Linked DNA regions of Saccharomyces cerevisiae S288C. The protein of the gene in region 3 binds, or shares a complex with, the protein of the main gene of each other region. Each region holds a gene or a part of one and is shown on either strand. Other genes may lie near its edges. The genes, in order: RTT102, RSC6, RSC2 and RSC30.

What was found.
Region 1: RSC2 (region 3) and RTT102 share a complex: the UniProt entries of both Saccharomyces cerevisiae proteins name them as parts of the two forms of the RSC complex.
Region 2: RSC2 (region 3) and RSC6 share a complex: the UniProt entries of both Saccharomyces cerevisiae proteins name them as parts of the two forms of the RSC complex.
Region 4: RSC2 (region 3) and RSC30 share a complex: the UniProt entries of both Saccharomyces cerevisiae proteins name them as parts of the two forms of the RSC complex.

Annotation. Positions count from the first base shown.
Region 1 is NC_001139.9:1,041,342-1,044,249, reverse strand, and holds RTT102 (Rtt102p), read right to left. Parts: upstream 975-2,908; coding exon 501-974; downstream 1-500. Other genes in the region: RNH70 (Rnh70p), read left to right, coding at 1-431; TAF1 (histone acetyltransferase), read left to right, coding at 1,155-2,908. UniProt on the Saccharomyces cerevisiae protein: Probable component of the chromatin structure-remodeling complex (RSC) which is involved in transcription regulation and nucleosome positioning. RSC is responsible for the transfer of a histone octamer from a nucleosome core particle to naked DNA.
Region 2 is NC_001135.5:211,671-219,559, forward strand, and holds RSC6 (Rsc6p), read left to right. Parts: upstream 1-3,323; coding exon 3,324-4,775; downstream 4,776-7,889. Other genes in the region: ARE1 (sterol acyltransferase), read left to right, coding at 259-2,091; YCR050C (uncharacterized protein), read right to left, coding at 1,794-2,102; YCR051W (uncharacterized protein), read left to right, coding at 2,401-3,069; threonine synthase THR4, read left to right, coding at 5,027-6,571; CTR86 (Ctr86p), read right to left, coding at 6,706-7,889. UniProt on the Saccharomyces cerevisiae protein: Component of the chromatin structure-remodeling complex (RSC), which is involved in transcription regulation and nucleosome positioning. RSC is responsible for the transfer of a histone octamer from a nucleosome core particle to naked DNA.
Region 3 is NC_001144.5:835,093-844,500, forward strand, and holds RSC2 (Rsc2p), read left to right. Parts: upstream 1-6,238; coding exon 6,239-8,908; downstream 8,909-9,408. Other genes in the region: BUD8 (Bud8p), read left to right, coding at 1-1,071; sedoheptulose-7-phosphate:D-glyceraldehyde-3-phosphate transaldolase TAL1, read right to left, coding at 1,258-2,265; ILV5 (ketol-acid reductoisomerase), read right to left, coding at 2,974-4,161; ATG33 (Atg33p), read left to right, coding at 5,229-5,822; YLR358C (uncharacterized protein), read right to left, coding at 8,395-8,958; adenylosuccinase ADE13, read left to right, coding at 9,190-9,408. UniProt on the Saccharomyces cerevisiae protein: Component of the chromatin structure remodeling complex (RSC), which is involved in transcription regulation and nucleosome positioning. RSC is responsible for the transfer of a histone octamer from a nucleosome core particle to naked DNA.
Region 4 is NC_001140.6:210,296-219,378, reverse strand, and holds RSC30 (Rsc30p), read left to right. Parts: upstream 1-1,544; coding exon 1,545-4,196; downstream 4,197-9,083. Other genes in the region: mediator complex subunit MED6, read left to right, coding at 1-382; peptidylprolyl isomerase CPR2, read left to right, coding at 536-1,153; metallothionein CUP1-2, read left to right, coding at 4,661-4,846; YHR054C-B (uncharacterized protein), read left to right, coding at 4,689-4,862; YHR054C (uncharacterized protein), read left to right, coding at 5,130-6,194; metallothionein CUP1-1, read left to right, coding at 6,659-6,844; YHR052C-B (uncharacterized protein), read left to right, coding at 6,687-6,860; CIC1 (Cic1p), read right to left, coding at 7,401-8,531. UniProt on the Saccharomyces cerevisiae protein: Component of the chromatin structure-remodeling complex (RSC), which is involved in transcription regulation and nucleosome positioning. RSC is responsible for the transfer of a histone octamer from a nucleosome core particle to naked DNA.

The DNA.
Region 1 (2,908 bases), on a different chromosome or scaffold from region 3:
TTAAAAATCATACTGAGGACGATTCTAAGGGCCAGTTAATCCGTTGCGTCGAAGATGATGAGACATGGACCCATATTCACGAGAATCTAAATAAAGATGTCAAACTTATTGTGGGGAGAATCAAGAACTTAGAGAGGTCACGCAACTATAATAAAAAGCCACGGAAGGAAACTCCTTCGTTCGATGCGTCCATGGTTCTTCATGATATAGGGCAACATCTAACACAATTATACGAGAATGCTACACCAGGTACTATGATTTTGATCATGTCGGGTACAGGCGACACAAGACCATGGAACAATCTTTCAACTGAGTTAGAGTTTATTCAAGACAAAAAGGAAAGATTAGATAAAAGACGCGAAAGGGAACCTGAAATAGTAGAAGCCATAAAGTTAGCCCGGGGTGGTGTAGCATCCTTTACTGTAAAATAATTCTATGTGTATAAATATATAAATATATATATATATATATATATATATATATGCATAATACTTTTCCTTTTAATTCATTTTCACATCTTTACTCTCCTTTGTATTATCATTGTTCACTCCCGCAGATAACCCAGGAATGGCTTCACTATTACCGACAGCGCCTCTTATATCATCCACACTAAGAGCTTCATCTCCTTGATTAGCAGAAGGAGCACCGGTGGCCTTACTTGTATCACCCTTAGTGTGCGATGTCATCAACGACTTTTTCAGTATTCTTCTATCAAATTCTTTCAAATCTAATATATCCTCACAGCTCTCCCTCTGTAGATTTTTCTCATCTTCCTGGTTCCTCAACCATGTTTTATACCTGAATGGATATTTCTCCAAGTTATTCTCCATGTCCCCTAGCTGTTGTTGTGGTTGCTGCACATTGGAGCTCACCTTAGATGGTTGGTACCAATCATACCTCCATGATTCCTTACTCGTAGGGTTGCCATAGTAAGAAACCTTATTGGCCTTAGTAATGAGCGTCTGTGGGTCCATTTTCTCTATCTCTTGCTGACGTAGCTCTTTCTTTCCAACATTAGGTTTTATCGCCTTGTTCATTAATAAACTAGTCGATAATTTCATTTCGCGGCGATGGTTTTCAAATGTGCTTTTAAGAGAATAAATAGCATTTTAAACACAGAGAGAAAAAGAAGTACAACAGGAGTATAAGGCGATATGGTAAAGCAGCAGGGATCCGGCAAGACCAACTTGGCCAACGAAGATGAAGCATATGAAGCTATTTTTGGCGGAGAGTTTGGCTCTTTAGAAATCGGGTCATACATTGGCGGGGATGAAGGTGCCAATTCAAAGGACTATACGGAGCATTTGCCGGATGCTGTAGATTTTGAAGATGAAGATGAACTTGCTGATGACGATGACGATTTGCCAGAAGAATCTGATGCTAATTTGCATCCAGCTATGATGACTATGGGCGCGTATGATGATGTAAACGAGAACGGTGCCGTACTCGGTATCGACTCAAATAGTTTGAATATGCAACTGCCTGAAATTAATGGTGATTTGTCTCAACAGTTTATTTTGGAGGATGATGGGGGTACTCCCGCAACTAGCAATGCTTTGTTTATGGGAATGGATGCAAATGAAATTCATCTCGCCACTGAAACTGGAGTTCTTGATGGTAGTGGCGCAAATGAAATTGGGCATTCTCAACTTTCCATTGGTGGCGTTAATGGAAATGATATGTCGATAAATGGTGGATTTATCATGGAACCAGATATGTCAGATGGCAAGCATAAGAAAGCCACCAAATTAGACTTGATAAACCATGAGAAGTATCTTCTAAAAAAATACTTTCCTGATTTTGAAAAGGGTAAAATTTTAAAATGGAACAAGCTGATTTATAGAAGATCTGTTCCTTATCATTGGCACAGTGAAATATCTAGGGTAAAGAAACCGTTTATGCCTTTAAATTTGAAATTCAAGGTTCAACAGGATGATAAGAGGCTATTCAACTCAAGGACAATATCTTACGTCGCTCCGATTTATCAAGGGAAAAACAATTTACTTCAAAGTAACTCTTCTGCATCCCGAAGAGGTTTAATTCATGTTTCCATTGATGAACTTTTCCCTATCAAAGAGCAACAAAAAAAAAGAAAGATTATTCATGATGAAAAGACCATATCGGAAGACTTGCTTATTGCCACTGATGATTGGGACCAAGAAAAAATCATCAACCAAGGTACTTCATCAACAGCAACCTTGGCGGATTCGTCTATGACACCCAACTTAAAGTTCTCCGGCGGTTATAAATTGAAGAGCTTGATTGAGGATGTTGCTGAAGATTGGCAGTGGGATGAAGACATGATCATTGATGCAAAATTGAAAGAGTCTAAACATGCTGAATTAAATATGAATGACGAAAAACTGTTGCTGATGATTGAGAAAACAAATAATTTAGCGCAGCAAAAGCAACAACTGGATAGTAGTAACTTGATATTGCCCCTCAACGAAACTATTTTGCAACAAAAATTCAATTTATCTAATGATGATAAATATCAAATCTTGAAAAAAACCCATCAAACAAAAGTTCGTTCTACCATCTCGAACTTAAATATTCAGCATTCTCAACCTGCGATTAATTTACAATCTCCATTTTACAAAGTGGCTGTTCCTAGATACCAGTTGAGGCATTTCCACCGTGAAAACTTTGGTTCGCACATCAGACCAGGTACTAAAATTGTCTTCAGTAAGTTAAAAGCGCGTAAAAGGAAAAGAGATAAAGGTAAAGATGTCAAAGAATCATTTTCTACATCTCAAGATCTAACCATCGGGGATACTGCTCCTGTTTATTTAATGGAATATTCTGAACAAACACCGGTAGCTTTGTCTAAATTTGGTATGGCCAATAAATTAATTAATTATTATCGGAAAGCCAATGAACAAGATACTCTAAGGCCCAAATTGCCTGT
Region 2 (7,889 bases), on a different chromosome or scaffold from region 3:
TCATCTCTTCTTTTTATCGATAAAATTGAAAAATGTGAGATGGTGTAGAGTGAAAAAAAAAAAAAAATCTGGCTTGGCCATCAAATACCCGGCCGTGGTTGGACTCGTTTAGCGAACAATAGCACCCAGCAGACCCTGGCAACATGCGGATGATATAAGAAGGACGAGCGTGGTGGAGGAAAGGGGCGCCATTGGCACACTCACGCAGGTGGTTGTTCAGCACGGCTTGCAGCAAGAGCGCCAAAACAGATTGCAAGAATGACGGAGACTAAGGATTTGTTGCAAGACGAAGAGTTTCTTAAGATCCGCAGACTCAATTCCGCAGAAGCCAACAAACGGCATTCGGTCACGTACGATAACGTGATCCTGCCACAGGAGTCCATGGAGGTTTCGCCACGGTCGTCTACCACGTCGCTGGTGGAGCCAGTGGAGTCGACTGAAGGAGTGGAGTCGACTGAGGCGGAACGTGTGGCAGGGAAGCAGGAGCAGGAGGAGGAGTACCCTGTGGACGCCCACATGCAAAAGTACCTTTCACACCTGAAGAGCAAGTCTCGGTCGAGGTTCCACCGAAAGGATGCTAGCAAGTATGTGTCGTTTTTTGGGGACGTGAGTTTTGATCCTCGCCCCACGCTCCTGGACAGCGCCATCAACGTGCCCTTCCAGACGACTTTCAAAGGTCCGGTGCTGGAGAAACAGCTCAAAAATTTACAGTTGACAAAGACCAAGACCAAGGCCACGGTGAAGACTACGGTGAAGACTACGGAGAAAACGGACAAGGCAGATGCCCCCCCAGGAGAAAAACTGGAGTCGAACTTTTCAGGGATCTACGTGTTCGCATGGATGTTCTTGGGCTGGATAGCCATCAGGTGCTGCACAGATTACTATGCGTCGTACGGCAGTGCATGGAATAAGCTGGAAATCGTGCAGTACATGACAACGGACTTGTTCACGATCGCAATGTTGGACTTGGCAATGTTCCTGTGCACTTTCTTCGTGGTTTTCGTGCACTGGCTGGTGAAAAAGCGGATCATCAACTGGAAGTGGACTGGGTTCGTTGCAGTGAGCATCTTCGAGTTGGCTTTCATCCCCGTGACGTTCCCCATTTACGTCTACTACTTTGATTTCAACTGGGTCACGAGAATCTTCCTGTTCCTGCACTCCGTGGTGTTTGTTATGAAGAGCCACTCGTTTGCCTTTTACAACGGGTATCTTTGGGACATAAAGCAGGAACTCGAGTACTCTTCCAAACAGTTGCAAAAATACAAGGAATCTTTGTCCCCAGAGACCCGCGAGATTCTGCAAAAAAGTTGCGACTTTTGCCTTTTCGAATTGAACTACCAGACCAAGGATAACGACTTCCCCAACAACATCAGTTGCAGCAATTTCTTCATGTTCTGTTTGTTCCCCGTCCTCGTGTACCAGATCAACTACCCAAGAACGTCGCGCATCAGATGGAGGTATGTGTTGGAGAAGGTGTGCGCCATCATTGGCACCATCTTCCTCATGATGGTCACGGCACAGTTCTTCATGCACCCGGTGGCCATGCGCTGTATCCAGTTCCACAACACGCCCACCTTCGGCGGCTGGATCCCCGCCACGCAAGAGTGGTTCCACCTGCTCTTCGACATGATTCCGGGCTTCACTGTTCTGTACATGCTCACGTTTTACATGATATGGGACGCTTTATTGAATTGCGTGGCGGAGTTGACCAGGTTTGCGGACAGATATTTCTACGGCGACTGGTGGAATTGCGTTTCGTTTGAAGAGTTTAGCAGAATCTGGAACGTCCCCGTTCACAAATTTTTACTAAGACACGTGTACCACAGCTCCATGGGCGCATTGCATTTGAGCAAGAGCCAAGCTACATTATTTACTTTTTTCTTGAGTGCCGTGTTCCACGAAATGGCCATGTTCGCCATTTTCAGAAGGGTTAGAGGATATCTGTTCATGTTCCAACTGTCGCAGTTTGTGTGGACTGCTTTGAGCAACACCAAGTTTCTACGGGCAAGACCGCAGTTGTCCAACGTTGTCTTTTCGTTTGGTGTCTGTTCAGGGCCCAGTATCATTATGACGTTGTACCTGACCTTATGAACTGCCACCATACCACGTGTGTCCCTCGCAAGCCCTTGATAGATATACAATAGGGAATGGGCGTCCGCTCCACCGTGGTCAAAGACAGGGGCAAAGAGCTCCTAGGTCTATATATATATCTATATACATATTTATATATATTATTAGAACTTTACAATATAGTATATACCATTCATTGTTTAAGTTTCGGGTAATACTTTTTTTTTCCTTGTCATAACCCCAAAAATTTTCGATGCCTTTGATATAATTGAGAACAAGAAGAGTTTGCAGGTGACAAAAATCGATGATTATAGGTGTTGTGACGACAAAATGAACGCTAATATATGGGTGGCTGCTTCAGATGGTAATTTGGACCGAGTGGAACATATCCTCCGCGAGAGTAAAGGCGCCATGACCCCGCAATCCAAGGACATTAACGGCTACACTCCAATGCATGCTGCCGCCGCATACGGCCACCTGGATTTGCTGAAGAAAATGTGCAATGAGTACAATGGAGACATTAATGTGTTGGACAACGACGGCGATACCCCGTTGCACCATGTGGAGGATGTGGCCACTGCCAGGTTGATCGTGGAAGAGCTGGGTGGAGACTTCACTATCAGGAATGTGGAGGGCCAAACGCCATACGACTCGTTCGTCGAGAACGGTGAAGATGGTGAGCTAATCGAGTACATGAGGATTAAGTCCGGCGTGGCCGATGTTCACGGAGTGGACGGCGTGCAGGGTGAGGGTGTCATCGACAGCAAATTGCTGGAAGAGTTCAAGGACAACGTGAGATACACCTTGGAAAATGACCCTGAGGAAGGAGCCGATGAGGCCACTCTGCAACGCAGGAGGCAGTTGGAACAGATCATTACGGGAGACAACGCTGAGGAGGAGTTGGAAAGGTACATCCGTGCTATGGTCAGAGAGCAGATGCTGGGCCAGGGCTCCATGGCGGGTTCCGGGGACGAACCAGATTCCAAGAGAAGAAAATAACGACCCAGCACAAAGGCTCTTACAGCTTGCTAAAAGAAATTGAACGCGACGCTACATGAACTACTTCTTTCTCTTACATAGTCTTTTCCCTTATGTATCTTTTCTGTACATTAATAGACGTTCTTACAAGGTAAAATTTCACCGCGTTTTTAAATAGAATGAAAAAAACGTTGTAGAGTGAAAGAAAAGCAACAAATATACAGTTCACAAGGCAGCTTCGTATAGTAATACAGCACGAAAAACAGCTCATAGAAATGGTAACACAGACCAATCCGGTCCCTGTTACATATCCAACGGATGCTTATATCCCCACGTATCTGCCCGATGATAAGGTCTCCAATCTGGCAGATTTGAAAAAATTGATAGAAATGGATTCCAGACTAGATTTGTATCTGACAAGAAGGAGGCTGGATACGTCCATCAATTTACCTACAAACACCAAGACCAAGGACCATCCCCCCAATAAAGAGATGCTGAGGATTTACGTCTACAACACTACGGAAAGCAGCCCTCGCAGCGATTCTGGCACCCCAGCGGACTCAGGCAAGACTACATGGACACTGAGAATAGAAGGTAAGCTTCTGCACGAGTCCGCAAACGGAAAGCACCCATTTAGTGAGTTTTTGGAAGGTGTCGCGGTCGACTTTAAAAGACTGAAACCGCTGGGCATGGGCAAGAAGAGGAAACGCGATTCGTCATTGAGCCTTCCTTTGAATCTGCAACAACCCGAATACAATGATCAAGATAGCACCATGGGCGATAACGACAACGGCGAGGATGAGGACAGTGCAGAGGCAGAATCCAGGGAGGAAATTGTAGACGCACTGGAATGGAACTACGATGAAAACAACGTTGTGGAGTTTGATGGTATCGACATCAAGAGGCAAGGCAAGGATAATTTGCGATGCAGTATAACCATCCAGTTGAGGGGTGTCGACGGTGGAAAAGTACAGTACTCGCCCAACTTAGCTACCTTGATAGGTATGCAAACGGGCTCCGTTAATGACGCGGTTTATTCGATCTACAAGTACATTTTGATCAACAATCTGTTTGTTACGGAACAAACAGAGGCTCAAGATGGTTCCAACGATGCCGAAGACAGCAGTAACGAGAATAACAATAAAAACGGTGCTGGTGACGATGATGGCGTCGAGGGAAGTACTCCAAAGGATAAGCCCGAATTGGGTGAAGTGAAGCTAGATTCACTCTTACAAAAGGTATTGGATACAAACGCCGCGCACCTCCCCTTGATGAATGTTGTGCAAACCGTGAACAAACTGGTATCACCCCTACCGCCCATCATCCTAGATTATACAATTGATCTTTCCAAAGATACCACCTATGGTGCTACCACCTTGGATGTAGATGTGTCGCACATTCTCCACCAGCCTCAACCCCAGCCAAATTTACAAAAAGAGGAAGAAACAGATGCTGAAGACACAGCAAAACTACGTGAAATCACAAAGCTTGCCTTGCAGTTGAACTCTAGTGCTCAAAAATACCAGTTTTTCCACGAACTGTCTTTGCATCCAAGAGAAACGCTGACTCACTACTTATGGTCTTCCAAGCAAAACGAGCTTGTGCTGCAGGGCGACCAATACTTCAATGAAGATGCTGCAAGAACGAGTGACATATACAGTAACAACAACAATGACAGGTCACTAATGGGCAATATCTCACTACTGTACTCCCAAGGAAGACTATAACATCACTGTATGATCTCATTCTTTCTGCAATTATTGCACGCCTCCTCGTGAGTAGTGACCGTGCGAACAAAAGAGTCATTACAACGAGGAAATAGAAGAAAATGAAAAATTTTCGACAAAATGTATAGTCATTTCTATCAATAACGTATACACGTTTTTTTAATACTATCTATATTGTGTATCTTATATTTTTCCATTTGGTAGTATAGCAGCAAATATTTGTTCTTAGACGGCCACCATCCCTCACACCAATGCCTAACGCTTCCCAAGTTTACAGATCTACCAGATCCAGCTCTCCAAAGACAATCTCTTTTGAAGAGGCTATCATTCAAGGTCTGGCCACTGACGGTGGTCTTTTCATTCCACCAACTATTCCACAAGTGGACCAAGCCACTCTTTTCAATGATTGGTCAAAGCTCTCCTTCCAAGACTTAGCCTTTGCTATCATGAGACTATACATTGCCCAAGAAGAGATTCCAGATGCTGATCTAAAGGACTTGATCAAGAGATCTTATTCTACTTTCCGTTCTGATGAAGTCACCCCCTTGGTGCAAAACGTCACTGGTGACAAGGAGAATTTGCACATTTTAGAATTATTCCACGGTCCTACCTACGCTTTCAAAGACGTTGCTTTACAATTTGTCGGTAATCTTTTTGAATACTTCTTACAAAGAACCAACGCCAATTTACCTGAAGGCGAGAAAAAGCAAATCACTGTGGTCGGTGCTACTTCCGGTGACACTGGTTCTGCAGCCATCTACGGTTTAAGAGGCAAAAAGGACGTTTCCGTTTTCATCTTATATCCAACCGGTAGAATTTCCCCAATTCAAGAAGAACAAATGACCACCGTTCCAGATGAAAACGTCCAGACTTTGTCTGTTACCGGTACTTTCGACAACTGTCAAGATATCGTCAAAGCTATTTTCGGTGACAAAGAATTCAACTCTAAACACAACGTCGGTGCTGTTAACTCCATCAACTGGGCAAGAATCTTGGCCCAAATGACCTATTACTTTTATTCATTCTTCCAAGCCACCAACGGTAAGGACTCCAAGAAGGTCAAGTTCGTTGTGCCAAGTGGGAACTTCGGTGATATATTGGCCGGTTATTTTGCCAAGAAAATGGGTTTGCCTATTGAAAAACTGGCCATCGCTACCAATGAAAACGACATTTTGGACAGATTTTTGAAATCTGGTCTATACGAAAGATCAGACAAGGTTGCTGCTACTTTATCCCCAGCAATGGATATCTTAATCTCTTCTAACTTTGAAAGACTACTATGGTACCTAGCTCGTGAATACCTAGCTAATGGTGATGATTTGAAAGCCGGTGAAATCGTCAACAATTGGTTCCAGGAATTGAAGACCAACGGTAAGTTCCAAGTTGACAAATCCATCATTGAAGGCGCATCAAAGGACTTTACATCAGAAAGAGTTTCCAATGAAGAAACATCTGAAACAATCAAGAAGATCTACGAATCATCTGTAAATCCAAAACATTACATCTTAGATCCTCACACAGCTGTCGGTGTTTGCGCCACAGAAAGATTGATTGCAAAAGATAATGACAAGTCCATCCAATACATTTCTCTATCTACCGCTCACCCAGCTAAATTTGCCGATGCTGTAAACAATGCATTGTCTGGATTTTCCAATTATTCATTTGAAAAGGATGTTTTGCCTGAGGAATTGAAGAAACTATCCACATTAAAGAAGAAATTAAAATTCATCGAAAGAGCTGACGTTGAATTGGTCAAAAACGCTATTGAAGAAGAACTTGCTAAAATGAAATTATAAGATCTTCCTTTTTAATGAATATATTTTATCTTATATAACATATAGAATTCTATAATTAATAGAGAGTATGAAGTACGATTATCCTTAATGTTAATCAAAGTGAATCATGATTGCGAGAGTAAGGAACCATAAAATTAATCTTCATCTATGCTAATAATCTCAGAATTCTCGTTCCCAGGGTCTTCTTCTTTAGATACTAATCTAACTTTCCCGCCCTTTTCAACTGATATTTCAAACCCAGCTTTGCTCAATGCATCGTCTTGAACAACGTCTTGAGCTTCCATTTTTTTGACATATTCCTGATTCTTGGCATTATTCTTTAACAAAAACTTCAAGCAAACAATAGATCTTTCCTTGATAAACGGATCATTATCATCGATGACACAATTGGAAAGAATTAATGCAAGACCACCTAATTCTCTTATTTGATCTTGGATTTCAGGATGTGCATACACTAACGATGCCAATATTTCGATTATTACTAATTTACAATGGGGAAAATTATCAGCCCTAATAAAGGATTCGTTGGTATTAACACGGTTGAAAATTAATAACCGGTCCTCGATTTTGTTACCTTCATGATCTGTGATTTTAATTTCATTCACCGTATCACCGTTTCCTTTCAAAAAATTAATCCTCAACAAATTCTTTTGGAAAGTATCCAAGAGAGATACCAATATTTTCACAGAGTCATACGAAATTAAGAATTTTCTAACATGATTGAATTTGCACAAGTCAGAAATTATGTCCAGGCAAGAAAGTAAAGTGGAGTGTAATTGGATGGCAACTGAAGGAGCATAATCGTTACAACTTTTATTGAAAAAGGCAGGAATATCCTTGCATGCAAGACGTTGCAGAATGGGGTAGCACCATGACATAATTGCAGTCAACTCATAGGTATTCCAATCTTCTTTACTCGTTACAACCAATTGCAATATCTGCAACAAAGTGGTGAATTTTCCTGGCTGTCTTTCTTCTAACCCATTGAGGTATTTACCAAAAGAAGCAGTTGTAAGACTTTTGCTAATACATTCTAAGACAGATAGGTCAATAGAAGTTATTTCCAATTTTGAATCATCCAGATAGTTTCTGCCCTTCTCAATTAAAAAGGAATTCTCTTGATCCTGGATGAATTTGGCTGTCACTATATCGAAAAATATTCTATCCCTAACACAATAATAGTCTTTCTGGGGTGTATCATTATCCCTGAAAAATTCGTTGGAAAATTCATCATTGTTGAGATACGTCTTGAAAAGAAATAAATATGGTAGCCAGAAATGCTCTTCTTCTTCACCGTCTTCCAATTTGATCCCATAAG
Region 3 (9,408 bases):
ATAAGCTCAACTGGCAGTAAAGGTGAAGGCGAGACCGAGGATGAAGTCATAGATCAATACGAACCTGTGAATGAATCAAAATTTATACCGCACAAACTAAAAATTCCAGAGAAGGCTGGATCAATAAAGTCGTCGACAAGTGATGATTCGCATTCGCCAGGTGCGCCAGGTACGTCGGCAAGGAAGATTAAAATTCCTCAGAGTCCATCGTTAATTGGTAACATATTGATTCCTTCACACAATAGTGACAGTAGTAACGAAAGTTCTCCTAAAGACCATATAGGGCATAATAATGAAGAAAAATTCAGTTCAAAATCTACGCGCAAGCCCTCCACATCCCTAGAAGAAGAAGGTCCACCAATTGGACTACCTTCAATTCCCGTATTAAGAAGTGTGTCCGGACCAAGCAAATGGACGAAGACACCTTTACGCTTAGAATCTGGAAATTCAACTAAGTCTGATCCATTTTCACGCTATGAAGGACACAAGACGCCCTCTCCATTGACCAAGATGAACAAGAAGAAAAATAAAACGTTGCCAGAACATGGACAACCCCTCGTGCTAGCTCCAATTAAATCTCAAAGCTCGGAGTCAGACACGGGACAGAACTCCATTATAGAAAAGCCAGCTCGAAGCATACGACGAAAGCAACAAGAAAAAACTGATAATAGGAAAGAAGACAGGCACGATGCTGAAAATATAGACCTGGAGGCGAGAATGCCAATTCAACATATCGATACCGCTTCCATTCATTCGTTTGATTCAGGTCAAAATGGATTCAGGGACGTTTACAGCATCGAAAACATCATTGTGATCCTCCTATGTTGTAGTATAGTGCCGCCATTATTTTTTATTATTGGCTGCAGCTCAAGAAGGAAATTAGTTTCAGACTATAGATTAATGAGGTTGCTTATGAATAAAGAACACCGAGCGGCTTTGCTGCAAGGATTCATATGGGACGTTGATTTAAGGTGGTTCCGGATGTTTTGTCTGATCTTAGGGGCTGCCGAAACAGTGATTGTGATGGCCGGTATTGCTATTGGATTTGGTGTGGGTATAACACGTGAATAAGAAACTGTATCATTCATCAAATAGGATAAAAAATAAAAAACTGTTCTGTCTCGTTAAAGTCATATATATAAATAGGGGATTTTCATTAATTTATATATATAGATATACTTGTGTACATGTACCCGTAAGTATCAAAAGAAACGTGCATAAGGACATGGCCTAAATTAATATTTCCGAGATACTTCCTTAAGCGGTAACTTTCTTTTCAATCAAGTCGAATAGAGTAACAATATCGGCAGAGAATTTTCTGATACCTTCGGACAATTTTTCAGTGGCCATAGCGTCTTCATTCAAGTCGAATCTGAATTTAGATTCGTCGCTGATGTAAGAAATCTTGTCGCCGGCTTCCTTCTTAGCGGAGACAGGGTCCAAAACTCTTGGGAAAGGTTCAGTACTGTTCATCAACTTGTCCAATAAAGCTGGAGAAATTGTTAGATAGTCAACACCAGCCAAGTTTTTGATTTCGTCAGTGCTTCTGAAAGAAGCACCCATAACAATAGTCTTGTAACCGTACTTCTTGTAGTAGTTGTAGATTTTCTTGACGGAAATAACACCTGGGTCGGCTTCACCCTTGTAATCTTTACCAGTGCTGGATTTGTACCAGTCTAGAATTCTACCAACAAATGGGGAAATCAAAGTAACTTGGGCCTCGGCACAGGCAACTGCTTGAACGAAGGAGAATAATAGAGTCAAATTACAGTGGATACCGTCCTTTTCTTCCAATTCTTTGGCAGCTTGAATACCTTCCCAAGTGGAAGCAATTTTAATAAGGACTCTTTCCTTGGAGACACCTTCTTGTTCAAACAATTTAATGATATGTCTAGCCTTTTCAATGGTAGCTTGAGTGTCAAAAGACAATCTAGCATCAACTTCGGTGGAGACTCTGCCTGGAACAATCTTTAAGATCTCCTTACCGAATTCGACTAACAATCTGTCCACAGCATTTTCGACTTGTTCTTCGGTGGTCTTACCATGCTTCTTACCGTATTCCACGGCAACATCGATCAACTTGGCGTAAGTTGGTTGCTTGGCAGCAGCCAAGATCAATGATGGGTTAGTTGTGGAGTCTTGAGGTTGAAACTTGGCAATAGAGCCGAAATCACCAGTGTCGGCAACAACGACAGTGCCGGAGGCTTTCAATTGTTCTAGAGAGTTGTTAGCAACCTTTTGTTTCTTTTGAGCTGGTTCAGACATTATGTACACGTATATGTGACGAGTTCGAGAAGTATTTTACTATCGTACTAAATTTTACCTGAAAAATTATATACTCGAGAAAGAGGAAGCCAAGAATTGAGAAAAAAGAAAAACCCGCGAGTAAGGAAATTAAATACAGGTGTACACATACACGCACACATATATATATATATATATATGTATATGTGTATATAGGAAGCGCGCGCATGTTAGTATATACGATTCGTTGGAAAGGGGCCGTCCACCAAACGTGACTTGACGAGTTGACAAATTGACCTCAATATGGCTCAGTCAGTAATTTTTAGTTCCGCTTTATTCCCGCCATCTTTCAGGCCACGAGGGTAGCTCATAACGCCGCGCTAATGCCGCTGCGTCACAGCAACCAGTAGCTCAGCCAAAACCGAAAGAGAAATCGTAGCTGTCCCGATGAGGACTTATACACTTGTCACCATCTAAATAAATTATTTATTCGCGTTTCGGTTCTTGTTTTCGATTTAATTAGATTGTTCATTGAATCATAATAAATATGTAAAAAATATATATATTTGAAGCTGCTTCAGAAAAACAGGGCTTCCTAGTGTACAGATGTATGTCGGATGAAAAAAAAAAAATCTTAAATGTGAAATTGGGTCAATTCAATTGACTATGACTTGATGTTGCAAAAATTCCAAGAGAAAAAGTTTCCAGCACTTGATATTATTTTCCTCTTTATTGGTTTTCTGGTCTCAACTTTCTGACTTCCTTACCAACCTTCCAGATTTCCATGTTTCTGATGGTGTCTAATTCCTTTTCTAGCTTTTCTCTGTAGTCAGGTTGAGAGTTGAATTCCAAAGATCTCTTGGTTTCGGTACCGTTCTTGGTAGATTCGTACAAGTCTTGGAAAACAGGCTTCAAAGCATTCTTGAAGATTGGGTACCAGTCCAAAGCACCTCTTCTGGCGGTGGTGGAACAAGCATCGTACATGTAATCCATACCGTACTTACCGATCAATGGGTATAGAGATTGGGTAGCTTCTTCGACGGTTTCGTTGAAAGCTTCAGATGGGGAGTGACCGTTTTCTCTCAAGACGTCGTATTGAGCCAAGAACATACCGTGGATACCACCCATTAAACAACCTCTTTCACCGTACAAGTCAGAGTTGACTTCTCTTTCGAAAGTGGTTTGGTAAACGTAACCGGAACCAATGGCAACGGCCAAAGCTTGGGCCTTTTCGTGAGCCTTACCGGTGACATCGTTCCAGACGGCGTAAGAAGAGTTAATACCACGACCTTCCTTGAACAAAGATCTGACAGTTCTACCGGAACCCTTTGGAGCAACCAAGATAACATCTAAGTCCTTTGGTGGTTCAACGTGAGTCAAGTCCTTGAAGACTGGGGAGAAACCGTGGGAGAAGTACAAAGTCTTACCCTTGGTCAACAATGGCTTGATAGCAGGCCAGGTTTCTGATTGAGCGGCATCGGACAACAAGTTCATAACGTAACTACCTCTCTTGATAGCATCTTCAACAGTGAACAAGTTCTTGCCTGGAACCCAACCGTCTTCGATGGCAGCCTTCCAAGAAGCACCATCTTTACGGACACCAATGATAACGTTCAAACCGTTGTCTCTCAAGTTCAAACCTTGACCGTAACCTTGGGAACCGTAACCGATCAAAGCAAAAGTGTCGTTCTTGAAGTAGTCCAACAACTTTTCTCTTGGCCAGTCAGCTCTTTCGTAGACGGTTTCAACAGTACCACCGAAGTTGATTTGCTTCAAACCACGGGTAGTGATCATTGGCTTAACGAAACGGGCAGCTGGTCTGCTGTAAGCAGCAGCACGGGTGGCCAAAGCAAAGGTTCTCTTAGCAGTGATGACACGGGAGTTGCAGATCAATCTGGCGGCTTGAGTTCTCAACATGTTTTATTTTTTACTTATATTGCTGGTAGGGTAAAAAAATATAACTCCTAGGAATAGGTTGTCTATATGTTTTTGTCTTGCTTCTATAATTGTAACAAACAAGGAAAGGGAAAATACTGGGTGTAAAAGCCATTGAGTCAAGTTAGGTCATCCCTTTTATACAAAATTTTTCAATTTTTTTTCCAAGATTCTTGTACGATTAATTATTTTTTTTTTGCGTCCTACAGCGTGATGAAAATTTCGCCTGCTGCAAGATGAGCGGGAACGGGCGAAATGTGCACGCGCACAACTTACGAAACGCGGATGAGTCACTGACAGCCACCGCAGAGGTTCTGACTCCTACTGAGCTCTATTGGAGGTGGCAGAACCGGTACCGGAGGAGACCGCTATAACCGGTTTGAATTTATTGTCACAGTGTCACATCAGCGGCAACTCAGAAGTTTGACAGCAAGCAAGTTCATCATTCGAACTAGCCTTATTGTTTTAGTTCAGTGACAGCGAACTGCCGTACTCGATGCTTTATTTCTCACGGTAGAGCGGAAGAACAGATAGGGGCAGCGTGAGAAGAGTTAGAAAGTAAATTTTTATCACGTCTGAAGTATTCTTATTCATAGGAAATTTTGCAAGGTTTTTTAGCTCAATAACGGGCTAAGTTATATAAGGTGTTCACGCGATTTTCTTGTTATGTATACCTCTTCTCTGAGGAATGGTACTACTGTCCTGATGTAGGCTCCTTAAATTGGTGGGCAAGAATAACTTATCGATATTTTGTATATTGGTCTTGGAGTTCACCACGTAATGCCTGTTTAAGACCATCAGTTAACTCTAGTATTATTTGGTCTTGGCTACTGGCCGTTTGCTATTATTCAAGTCTTTTGTGCCTTCCCGTCGGGTAAGGGAGTTATTTAGGGATACAGAATCTAACGAAAACTAAATCTCAATGATTAACTCCATTTAATCCTTTTTTGAAAGGCAAAAGAGGTCCCTTGTTCACTTACAACGTTCTTAGCCAAATTCGCTTATCACTTACTACTTCACGATATACAGAAGTAAAAACATATAAAAAGATGTCTGTTTGTTTAGCCATCACAAAAGGTATCGCAGTTTCTTCTATAGGCCTCTACTCTGGTCTTTTGGCTTCCGCTTCATTGATTACATCTACTACTCCACTAGAGGTTTTAACAGGATCCCTTACTCCCACTTTAACCACTTTGAAAAATGCGGCCACCGCCTTGGGAGCGTTTGCGTCAACTTTCTTTTGTGTGAGCTTTTTCGGCGCTCCTCCCTCATTGAGACACCCCTACTTACTCTATGGTATGCTTGTAGCTCCATTATCTTCATTTGTTCTAGGATGTGCCTCCAACTATCAGTCTAGAAAGTACAGTAAAGTCTCTAAGGAATCTTCTTTATTTCCCGAAGACAGCAAACTCGCTGCTTCCGAACTGAGCGATTCTATTATTGATTTAGGTGAAGACAACCATGCTTCAGAAAATACACCTCGAGACGGGAAGCCTGCAGCAACCACAGTATCAAAGCCGGCAGAGGCATTGCACACCGGTCCCCCAATCCATACTAAAAATCTAATTGCAGCAACTGCTATTGCTATTGTTGGCTTTGTACAAGCCGTTATTGGCGTTTATGGGGAAGGACAATTTATCTAGTGTTTCTCGTTCACGTATTTATCTCTACAAGAATTTGTAGCTGCCTGAACTCGGCTCCTCTCTCTCTCCAAAAATAAAGTGTGTAGTAATTTGCAGTTTTTTTATATATTCCTACGAGTTTTCAAACGTTCAAAAGACAGTATGTTCAAAAATTGTGCATACACACACGTATGCACATATATACATAATAATACACTGTAATAAGCACATTTGTAGGTGCTCTTGCACTTGGTTTATTACTGTCACTGACTTTTCTCACCCGGCCGAGAGTCGTGCGAAAATTCGCATGTTAAAGTGAGAAAATAGAGAAAACAACACAGCTGAAAAAAGTATTGGTAACAGTTCAATACGTGATCAAATATACAGCACGTCGCGCAGAACCAGACGAAGCGGAGAATATTCTACATTGACAGTGCATGATGCCTGATGACAATTCAAACTCGTCCACTCAAAACTCAAGCGCATTATACAAGGACCTGAGGAAAGAATATGAATCTCTTTTCACTTTAAAGGAAGATTCTGGGTTAGAGATTTCACCAATATTCAATGTCCTTCCACCTAAAAAGGATTATCCTGACTACTACGCAGTGATCAAGAACCCTGTATCTTTCAATACTTTAAAAAAGCGTATTCCACATTATACAGATGCTCAACAGTTTATGAACGATGTTGTCCAGATTCCATGGAATGCCAAGACTTACAATACAAGAGATTCAGGAATTTATAAATACGCCTTAGTCCTTGAGAAATATTTAAAGGACACAATCTATCCAAATTTAAAAGAAAAATATCCTCAATTAGTGTATCCTGATTTGGGTCCTCTACCCGATGAACCAGGTTATGAAGAGTTTCAACAGAAATTAAGAGAAAAAGCTGAGGAAGTAGCGAGAGCTAATGCAGCCAGAGCCGAGTCGAGCTCTTCAATGAATTCAACAGAAGCAGCCAGAAGATTAAGAAAGACTCGTACTTCCGTCAAAAGAGAATCAGAACCAGGAACCGATACAAATAATGATGAGGACTATGAGGCGACGGATATGGATATCGATAACCCTAAGGATGCTGATTTTCCTGATTTGATAAGAAAGCCACTAATAAATATTAATCCATATACTCGGAAACCATTAAGAGACAACAGGTCCACTACTCCATCTCACTCAGGCACCCCTCAGCCGTTAGGCCCAAGGCATAGACAGGTATCCAGAACTCAGGTAAAGCGTGGGAGACCCCCAATCATCGACTTACCGTATATTCAAAGAATGAAAAATGTTATGAAAGTACTAAAAAAAGAGGTGCTAGATAGTGGAATTGGTCTAACTGATCTTTTTGAAAGATTGCCCGATAGACACAGAGATGCAAATTACTACATCATGATTGCTAATCCAATTAGTCTTCAAGACATAAATAAAAAGGTAAAGACTCGTCGTTATAAAACGTTCCAGGAGTTCCAGAATGATTTTAATCTTATGTTAACCAACTTTAGAATTTCGCACAGAGGTGATCCTGAAAGCATAAAAATTTCAAATATCTTAGAAAAGACCTTTACTAGTCTGGCAAGATTCGAACTATCCAAACCTGATAGAAGTTTCATTCCAGAAGGCGAGCTAAGATACCCTCTAGATGAAGTCATTGTAAATAATATATCATACCACGTGGGAGATTGGGCACTTCTTCGAAATCAAAATGATCCTCAAAAACCTATAGTGGGCCAAATATTCAGGCTATGGAAGACACCAGATGGGAAACAATGGTTAAACGCTTGTTGGTATTACAGACCCGAACAAACTGTGCATAGAGTGGATAGATTGTTTTACAAAAACGAAGTTATGAAAACAGGTCAGTACCGTGATCATTTAGTGTCAAACTTAGTTGGGAAATGCTATGTGATTCACTTTACTAGATATCAACGTGGTAATCCCGATATGAAATTGGAGGGTCCCTTGTTCGTTTGCGAATTCCGTTATAATGAATCCGATAAAATTTTTAACAAGATTAGAACCTGGAAGGCTTGCTTACCAGAGGAAATTCGTGATTTGGACGAAGCTACCATTCCGGTAAATGGTAGAAAGTTCTTCAAATATCCTTCCCCCATAAGACATCTACTACCAGCTAATGCAACGCCGCATGATCGCGTTCCTGAACCAACGATGGGATCCCCGGACGCGCCACCATTGGTCGGTGCCGTTTATATGAGACCTAAAATGCAGCGTGACGATTTGGGGGAATATGCAACCTCTGATGACTGTCCCAGGTATATTATCAGACCCAACGATTCTCCCGAAGAGGGACAAGTGGATATAGAAACAGGTACGATCACCACAAACACGCCAACAGCAAATGCTCTTCCTAAAACAGGATACTCAAGTAGTAAACTATCCAGTTTAAGATATAACAGGTCATCTATGTCTTTAGAAAACCAAAATGCTATTGGCCAGCAACAAATACCACTGTCAAGAGTTGGTTCCCCTGGCGCGGGAGGCCCGCTTACTGTACAAGGTTTAAAGCAACACCAATTGCAAAGGTTACAACAGCAGCAACATCAATACCAACAACAGAAAAGATCCCAAGCATCACGTTATAATATCCCAACAATAATCGATGATTTAACATCGCAGGCATCAAGAGGTAATTTGGGTAATATAATGATCGATGCAGCCTCCTCGTTTGTCTTACCTATCTCTATAACCAAAAACGTAGATGTTTTGCAGCGTACTGATCTGCACAGCCAAACCAAGAGATCTGGAAGAGAAGAGATGTTTCCATGGAAAAAAACAAAGGGTGAAATATTATGGTTCAGAGGACCTAGTGTGATAGTAAATGAACGAATAATAAATTCAGGTGACCCACACCTAAGCCTGCCACTGAATAGGTGGTTTACCACTAACAAGAAAAGAAAACTAGAATACGAAGAAGTTGAAGAAACCATGGAAGATGTGACTGGAAAGGACAAAGATGATGATGGCTTAGAACCGGATGTTGAAAATGAGAAAGAGTCCTTGCCAGGCCCATTTGTCCTTGGATTAAGACCCTCGGCTAAGTTCACGGCGCACAGACTCTCTATGCTGCGGCCTCCTTCGTCGTCTTCATGATCACCTTTATTGTAAAAGCAATGGCAGCATAATATCTTCCCATTGCGCATTACCCTCCGCGAGCAGAGTCAAACTTCAAACAAAGCAGGAAAATGAAATAAAACAGAAGTTATTATATAGAAGAAAGTCATCTATAGATATATTATCGTTGTATTAATAGTAGCCATATAAAACAATTATACTTCATCACCAACCTCTCAAAATTTCTTCCCCAAGGACCAAAGCTTTTCCAGTAAGTTGCTACAACTAAAGTGAAATAAACTATCCGAATTATATAAAAGATGCCTGACTATGACAATTACACTACGCCATTGTCTTCTAGATATGCCTCCAAGGAAATGTCAGCAACGTTTTCTTTGAGAAACAGATTTTCCACATGGAGAAAACTATGGTTAAATTTGGCTATTGCTGAGAAGGAATTGGGCTTAACTGTTGTTACAGATGAAGCAATTGAGCAAATGCGCAAACACGTCGAAATCACTGATGATGAAATCGCAAAA
Region 4 (9,083 bases), on a different chromosome or scaffold from region 3:
TGTGCAAAGTAGGCTGATGTCCACGAGCTACCATCTAAATAGCACATTGGAGAGCTTGTATGACTTGATTGAGTTTCAACCTTCCCAAGGAGTACACTATAAAGTACCTACGGACACTAGCACGACTGCAACGGCTGCCACCAACGGGAACAACGCTGGAGGGGGCAGTAACAAGAGCAGTGTACGACCTACCGGCGGTGCCAATATGGCGACTGTTCCCTCAACCACAAATGTCAACATGACAGTCAACACTATGGGTACAGGAGGACAAACTATAGACAACGGTACCGGTCGTACTGGCAACGGTAACATGGGTATAACTACAGAGATGTTGGACAAATTAATGGTCACAAGCATTCGATCCACCCCAAACTACATATGAGAACTGCCATGGCAATTGCATATATCTTTGTACTATATTATAAAACCCCGCGAAATCAACTTTTCAGTTTTCTTCAAAAATCGATGTACCCATCATAAGAAGTTCCCCCAAAAGGAAAGAAATGAGAGGAAAAAGACACGAAGGGAAAACAAAATGAAATTCAGTGGCTTGTGGTGTTGGTTGTTATTATTCCTTAGCGTTAATGTTATTGCATCTGATGTGGGTGAGTTGATTGATCAGGACGACGAAGTAATTACACAAAAGGTGTTTTTCGATATTGAACATGGTGAAGAGAAAGTTGGCAGAATCGTTATTGGGTTGTACGGAAAGGTATGTCCTAAGACGGCGAAGAACTTCTACAAGTTAAGCACCACCACTAATTCCAAAAAGGGGTTCATCGGGTCCACTTTCCATAGGGTGATTCCCAACTTCATGGTACAGGGAGGGGACTTCACAGACGGCACTGGCGTTGGTGGCAAATCCATCTATGGAGATACTTTCCCTGACGAAAACTTTACTTTGAAGCATGATCGCAAGGGCAGACTATCGATGGCTAATCGTGGTAAAGATACCAATGGATCTCAGTTCTTCATCACCACTACGGAAGAAGCGTCGTGGCTCGATGGAAAGCATGTGGTATTTGGACAGGTTGTGGACGGCATGGATGTGGTGAACTACATACAGCACGTGTCCAGAGATGCGAATGACAAACCTCTCGAGGCGGTCAAGATCGCAAAATGCGGTGAGTGGACGCCTGAGCTCTCTTCTTGAGTATATGCAATATTTCATACTATATACATAGATATCAATTTCAGTATGTATAGTTAAAGGTAAATTAACTAGAGAACGTGGGAACAGTTCCGCACTGTGACCACCGGAACGTACGTCTGGTTAGCGCAGCATTAGTCCCAGTTACATCCGATTCAAAATGCAACAGCAAGTATTAATTGGGGAAATCATATCATTTTGAATATAACCTTGGCGTCCTACTAAGGATGGTTATACATCCTAGCTCGTGTAGTGTGATATTTTGCAGGAATGATGCAAAGAGAGGAAGAACAAGAAGAGAGTTGTTGTTTTTAATGTATCTTAGCAATTTATGAGAGGAGCATTGTCGTTGTCTGCTGTGACTAGTGCGTAGCTTTGCCGTTTGTTTTTAATCATGATGGACATGCAAGTGAGAAAAGTGAGGAAGCCGCCTGCTTGCACCCAATGCAGGAAGAGAAAGATCGGGTGCGACAGGGCAAAACCGATATGTGGGAATTGCGTCAAGTATAACAAGCCGGACTGTTTTTATCCAGATGGACCTGGTAAGATGGTCGCTGTGCCCTCTGCGTCCGGGATGTCCACGCACGGCAATGGCCAAGGTTCCAACCATTTTAGTCAGGGAAACGGTGTAAATCAGAAAAACGTAATGATTCAAACGCAGTATCCGATTATGCAAACGTCGATAGAGGCATTCAACTTCTCGTTCAACCCCTCTGTGGATACTGCGATGCAGTGGACCAAGGCCGCTAGCTACCAGAATAATAACACCAATAATAATACTGCTCCTCGTCAGAATAGTAGTACCGTTAGTAGTAATGTTCATGGAAACACTATTGTGAGAAGCGATAGTCCAGATGTGCCCTCCATGGATCAGATTAGAGAATATAACACACGATTACAACTGGTTAACGCTCAAAGTTTTGACTATACAGATAACCCATACTCTTTTAATGTTGGTATCAATCAAGACTCGGCCGTTTTCGATCTAATGACTTCTCCGTTTACTCAAGAGGAAGTATTAATCAAGGAGATAGACTTTTTAAAAAACAAATTGCTTGATTTACAAAGCTTGCAACTGAAAAGTTTGAAAGAAAAATCGAATTTAAATGCCGACAATACCACGGCAAACAAAATTAACAAAACAGGTGAGAATTCTAAGAAAGGCAAGGTTGACGGTAAAAGAGCCGGATTTGATCATCAGACTTCAAGGACTTCTCAGTCCTCACAAAAATACTTTACAGCGCTCACAATAACAGATGTGCAAAGTTTAGTCCAAGTGAAACCGTTGAAGGATACCCCCAACTACCTTTTCACTAAAAACTTCATCATTTTTAGAGATCATTATCTTTTCAAGTTCTATAATATTTTGCACGATATCTGCCATATTAATCAGTTCAAAGTAAGTCCTCCTAACAATAAAAATCACCAACAATATATGGAAGTTTGCAAAGTTAACTTCCCACCAAAAGCAATAATTATTGAGACACTAAACTCTGAATCCCTTAACAATCTGAATATTGAAGAATTTTTGCCAATCTTTGACAAAACCCTCTTACTAGAATTTGTTCATAACTCTTTTCCAAATGGTGATACCTGTCCTTCATTCTCAACGGTCGATCTTCCTTTATCTCAACTGACCAAACTAGGCGAATTAACTGTGCTTCTACTGTTGTTAAACGATTCAATGACCCTATTCAATAAGCAGGCTATTAATAACCATGTTTCGGCATTAATGAATAATTTGAGGTTGATTCGAAGCCAAATCACATTGATAAACCTGGAATATTATGACCAAGAGACAATCAAATTTATTGCCATCACAAAATTTTATGAATCTCTGTACATGCATGATGATCATAAATCAAGTTTAGACGAAGATTTGAGCTGTCTGTTAAGCTTCCAGATAAAAGATTTCAAGTTATTCCATTTTTTGAAAAAAATGTATTACTCAAGACATTCGCTTCTAGGTCAGTCTTCATTCATGGTACCCGCTGCTGAAAACCTATCTCCGATACCTGCCTCTATTGATACGAACGACATTCCTTTAATTGCTAACGATTTAAAATTACTGGAAACGCAAGCAAAATTGATAAATATTCTGCAAGGTGTTCCTTTCTACTTGCCAGTAAATTTAACCAAAATTGAAAGTCTGTTAGAAACCTTGACTATGGGCGTGAGTAATACAGTAGACTTATATTTTCATGACAACGAAGTCAGAAAAGAATGGAAAGACACTTTAAATTTTATCAATACCATTGTTTATACAAATTTTTTCCTTTTTGTTCAAAACGAATCCTCTTTGTCCATGGCAGTTCAACATTCTTCTAACAACAATAAGACCTCGAACTCTGAAAGATGTGCAAAGGATCTGATGAAAATTATTTCTAATATGCACATTTTTTACTCAATAACATTTAATTTTATCTTCCCCATAAAGTCGATAAAGTCATTTTCAAGCGGCAATAATCGCTTTCATTCTAATGGTAAAGAATTTTTATTCGCAAATCATTTTATTGAAATCTTACAGAATTTTATAGCAATCACATTTGCTATTTTCCAACGTTGTGAAGTAATATTATATGACGAATTTTACAAAAATCTTTCAAATGAGGAGATTAATGTTCAATTGCTATTGATTCATGACAAGATTTTGGAAATTTTAAAAAAAATAGAAATTATCGTATCCTTTTTACGAGATGAAATGAATAGCAACGGAAGTTTCAAATCTATTAAAGGTTTCAACAAGGTTTTGAATCTGATTAAATATATGCTGAGATTTAGCAAGAAAAAACAAAATTTTGCGAGAAACTCTGATAACAATAATGTTACAGATTATAGTCAGTCGGCGAAGAACAAAAATGTTCTCTTGAAATTCCCCGTTAGTGAACTGAACAGAATCTATTTAAAATTTAAGGAGATTTCAGATTTTTTAATGGAAAGAGAAGTTGTCCAAAGGAGTATAATTATTGACAAGGATTTGGAATCTGATAATCTGGGTATTACTACGGCAAACTTCAACGATTTCTATGATGCATTTTATAATTAGTAAGCCGATCCCATTACCGACATTTGGGCGCTATACGTGCATATGTTCATGTATGTATCTGTATTTAAAACACTTTTGTATTATTTTTCCTCATATATGTGTATAGGTTTATACGGATGATTTAATTATTACTTCACCACCCTTTATTTCAGGCTGATATCTTAGCCTTGTTACTAGTTAGAAAAAGACATTTTTGCTGTCAGTCACTGTCAAGAGATTCTTTTGCTGGCATTTCTTCTAGAAGCAAAAAGAGCGATGCGTCTTTTCCGCTGAACCGTTCCAGCAAAAAAGACTACCAACGCAATATGGATTGTCAGAATCATATAAAAGAGAAGCAAATAACTCCTTGTCTTGTATCAATTGCATTATAATATCTTCTTGTTAGTGCAATATCATATAGAAGTCATCGAAATAGATATTAAGAAAAACAAACTGTACAATCAATCAATCAATCATCACATAAAATGTTCAGCGAATTAATTAACTTCCAAAATGAAGGTCATGAGTGCCAATGCCAATGTGGTAGCTGCAAAAATAATGAACAATGCCAAAAATCATGTAGCTGCCCAACGGGGTGTAACAGCGACGACAAATGCCCCTGCGGTAACAAGTCTGAAGAAACCAAGAAGTCATGCTGCTCTGGGAAATGAAACGAATAGTCTTTAATATATTCATCTAACTATTTGCTGTTTTTAATTTTTAAAAGGAGAAGGAAGTTTAATCGACGATTCTACTCAGTTTGAGTACACTTATGTATTTTGTTTAGATACTTTGTTAATTTATAGGTATACGTTAATAATTAAGAAAAGGAAATAAAGTATCTCCATATGTCGCCCCAAGAATAAAATATTATTACCAAATTCTAGTTTGCCTAACTTACAACTCTGTATAGAATCCCCAGATTTCGAATAAAAAAAAAAAAAAAAGCTATTCATGGTACCCGCTGCTGAAAACCTATCTCCGATACCTGCCTCTATTGATACGAACGACATTCCTTTAATTGCTAACGATTTAAAATTACTGGAAACGCAAGCAAAATTGATAAATATTCTGCAAGGTGTTCCTTTCTACTTGCCAGTAAATTTAACCAAAATTGAAAGTCTGTTAGAAACCTTGACTATGGGCGTGAGTAATACAGTAGACTTATATTTTCATGACAACGAAGTCAGAAAAGAATGGAAAGACACTTTAAATTTTATCAATACCATTGTTTATACAAATTTTTTCCTTTTTGTTCAAAACGAATCCTCTTTGTCCATGGCAGTTCAACATTCTTCTAACAACAATAAGACCTCGAACTCTGAAAGATGTGCAAAGGATCTGATGAAAATTATTTCTAATATGCACATTTTTTACTCAATAACATTTAATTTTATCTTCCCCATAAAGTCGATAAAGTCATTTTCAAGCGGCAATAATCGCTTTCATTCTAATGGTAAAGAATTTTTATTCGCAAATCATTTTATTGAAATCTTACAGAATTTTATAGCAATCACATTTGCTATTTTCCAACGTTGTGAAGTAATATTATATGACGAATTTTACAAAAATCTTTCAAATGAGGAGATTAATGTTCAATTGCTATTGATTCATGACAAGATTTTGGAAATTTTAAAAAAAATAGAAATTATCGTATCCTTTTTACGAGATGAAATGAATAGCAACGGAAGTTTCAAATCTATTAAAGGTTTCAACAAGGTTTTGAATCTGATTAAATATATGCTGAGATTTAGCAAGAAAAAACAAAATTTTGCGAGAAACTCTGATAACAATAATGTTACAGATTATAGTCAGTCGGCGAAGAACAAAAATGTTCTCTTGAAATTCCCCGTTAGTGAACTGAACAGAATCTATTTAAAATTTAAGGAGATTTCAGATTTTTTAATGGAAAGAGAAGTTGTCCAAAGGAGTATAATTATTGACAAGGATTTGGAATCTGATAATCTGGGTATTACTACGGCAAACTTCAACGATTTCTATGATGCATTTTATAATTAGTAAGCCGATCCCATTACCGACATTTGGGCGCTATACGTGCATATGTTCATGTATGTATCTGTATTTAAAACACTTTTGTATTATTTTTCCTCATATATGTGTATAGGTTTATACGGATGATTTAATTATTACTTCACCACCCTTTATTTCAGGCTGATATCTTAGCCTTGTTACTAGTTAGAAAAAGACATTTTTGCTGTCAGTCACTGTCAAGAGATTCTTTTGCTGGCATTTCTTCTAGAAGCAAAAAGAGCGATGCGTCTTTTCCGCTGAACCGTTCCAGCAAAAAAGACTACCAACGCAATATGGATTGTCAGAATCATATAAAAGAGAAGCAAATAACTCCTTGTCTTGTATCAATTGCATTATAATATCTTCTTGTTAGTGCAATATCATATAGAAGTCATCGAAATAGATATTAAGAAAAACAAACTGTACAATCAATCAATCAATCATCACATAAAATGTTCAGCGAATTAATTAACTTCCAAAATGAAGGTCATGAGTGCCAATGCCAATGTGGTAGCTGCAAAAATAATGAACAATGCCAAAAATCATGTAGCTGCCCAACGGGGTGTAACAGCGACGACAAATGCCCCTGCGGTAACAAGTCTGAAGAAACCAAGAAGTCATGCTGCTCTGGGAAATGAAACGAATAGTCTTTAATATATTCATCTAACTATTTGCTGTTTTTAATTTTTAAAAGGAGAAGGAAGTTTAATCGACGATTCTACTCAGTTTGAGTACACTTATGTATTTTGTTTAGATACTTTGTTAATTTATAGGTATACGTTAATAATTAAGAAAAGGAAATAAAGTATCTCCATATGTCGCCCCAAGAATAAAATATTATTACCAAATTCTAGTTTGCCTAACTTACAACTCTGTATAGAATCCCCAGATTTCGAATAAAAAAAAAGCATATGTATTAATCCTAAAATGTATTATGAGAACGTCTTTTAAAGGTAAAATGCTGTTATCCCCGTCACTTTCAATGATCTATTTATTTGAAGCGGATAGTACAACAGATCAGTCTAAAACGTATAAGCTCTTAGACCGAGAAACCAATATTCAAATAATGACTTTATTTTTAATATACACTTCAAACATATATAGATATATACATATGCACCGCACTCTATGAAATTCAAATTTTTTTCTTCACAAGAAAAAAATGAGAGAAAAGATAGATAAGGAGGAAACAAATTAACTTTTAGCCTTCTTGACAGCTTCTGACTCGCTAGATTCTTTTTCAAGCTCGCTAGAAGATCTCTTTTTTGCATTGTTAATTTGTTTAGAGAAAATTGAACCCAATTCGGAAGGATTGGCGATTTCCATCAAACCCTTGTTGAAGGTAGACAAATGAACTTGTACACCATCAATGGTGACCATGTCATCTTCGTGGGTTTCTTCGATTTTGTCCTTTTTAGCTTCAAGTTCATCAAGAACGTCCTGGTTATAGTATAATGGCAATACGGGCGACCTATTGGTCTTGATAAAAATGGATCTGATTTGGTATGCTTTGATTAACTGTTCAGAAATTAATTCAACGTTATCTACAAACTCTTCTGGCCTTAACCATTCTAAATTACCCAAATGGACATTCAACGTGGTACCTCTTGGAAGTTTAACGGGCAACTGATTCATGTAAACCTTTTTGATATTGTTCGTCAAAGTGGTCAAGGAAAATTCCTTATTTGCATGTGTTCTAATTGATATAGGAGTAGTTTCTACTTTGTTGTAGGCTTTGCCTCCCATAAGTTTTGGCAAAGATGTAACTATACTGTCGTCAGCCAAAATCAAAGAAAACTGAGATATAAAAGCGTTTCTAGCCTCATATGCCTTGTAAACGGTCTTTAAGTCTTTCCCGCAAATGATTTCATCAACCTTGATTCCTTCTGAATCTAATTGATCAAATAAATCATCTTCTGAAACTTTCTTAATATCAGAATCCTTCAAAATTAATAAAACTTTGAAATCCTTAACCGCTGTTGCACTGGCTTCTTTCCAAGGCTTGTAAAACGAATGTTTGACATTTAGTAATTTCAATTTGAATGATTTGGAAGTACCGGTGAATGATTTATTATTTACTACGATTAATTGCAGATCTTTCTTCAATTCTTCTTCATCATCTTCCAATAGGTTTTTCTTACCGTTATTTCCTTCTTCATTATTTTCATCTTGTGGCTTGGAAGTGAATTTTATAAGCTCGTTGACAGCTTTAATAACTCTTTCCCTAGGAATGGCTGTGGAAGATTTCTTTTCAATAACCTTCTTCTTTTCTTTGCTTGGTGTACTTACAGGCGTAGATTTCTTTGAGTTACTCTTTTTAGCCATTTTATACTTTATAGTCTGGAACGTAGGTTTATCTGCCTGCTGTCTAATATTTCTTATAAAACAGACACTATTCTTTATGCAGTATACAAACGCTTTTTGTTACTTTTCAAAATTTGCGATGAGCTCCAGTGGAAAAATTTTTTTCAGGAAATTGTCTTTAATTTTTTTAGTATGAAGTGACATCAACTTCACATTTATTGACGCAACGGTGAAGCACAGAATAGAATAGTAATTCTTTAATGGTATATTCTAGGTTTTTGTTTTTTATATAGTTATTTATTGTTTTATTATTTTTCCCATTCTTCTTTCCTGAAATAGAACACAAAAAAGCTACTAACAAAGGATATTAAAGGTAATCTGTGACCAGCCCTCATTACCAAAAATAAAGTTTGTTCAAGTAATAGAGTAGAGAAAACAAAGTGGAAATCATAATGGTTAAATTTAAATATTTTTCTTTTACTTTTCTTATTTCACCTCTTGTGATCTTATCGTTGATTTTGATATATTAGTTTCTGAGTGGATGAATATCCATAAAGGGTAAAACAAATAATA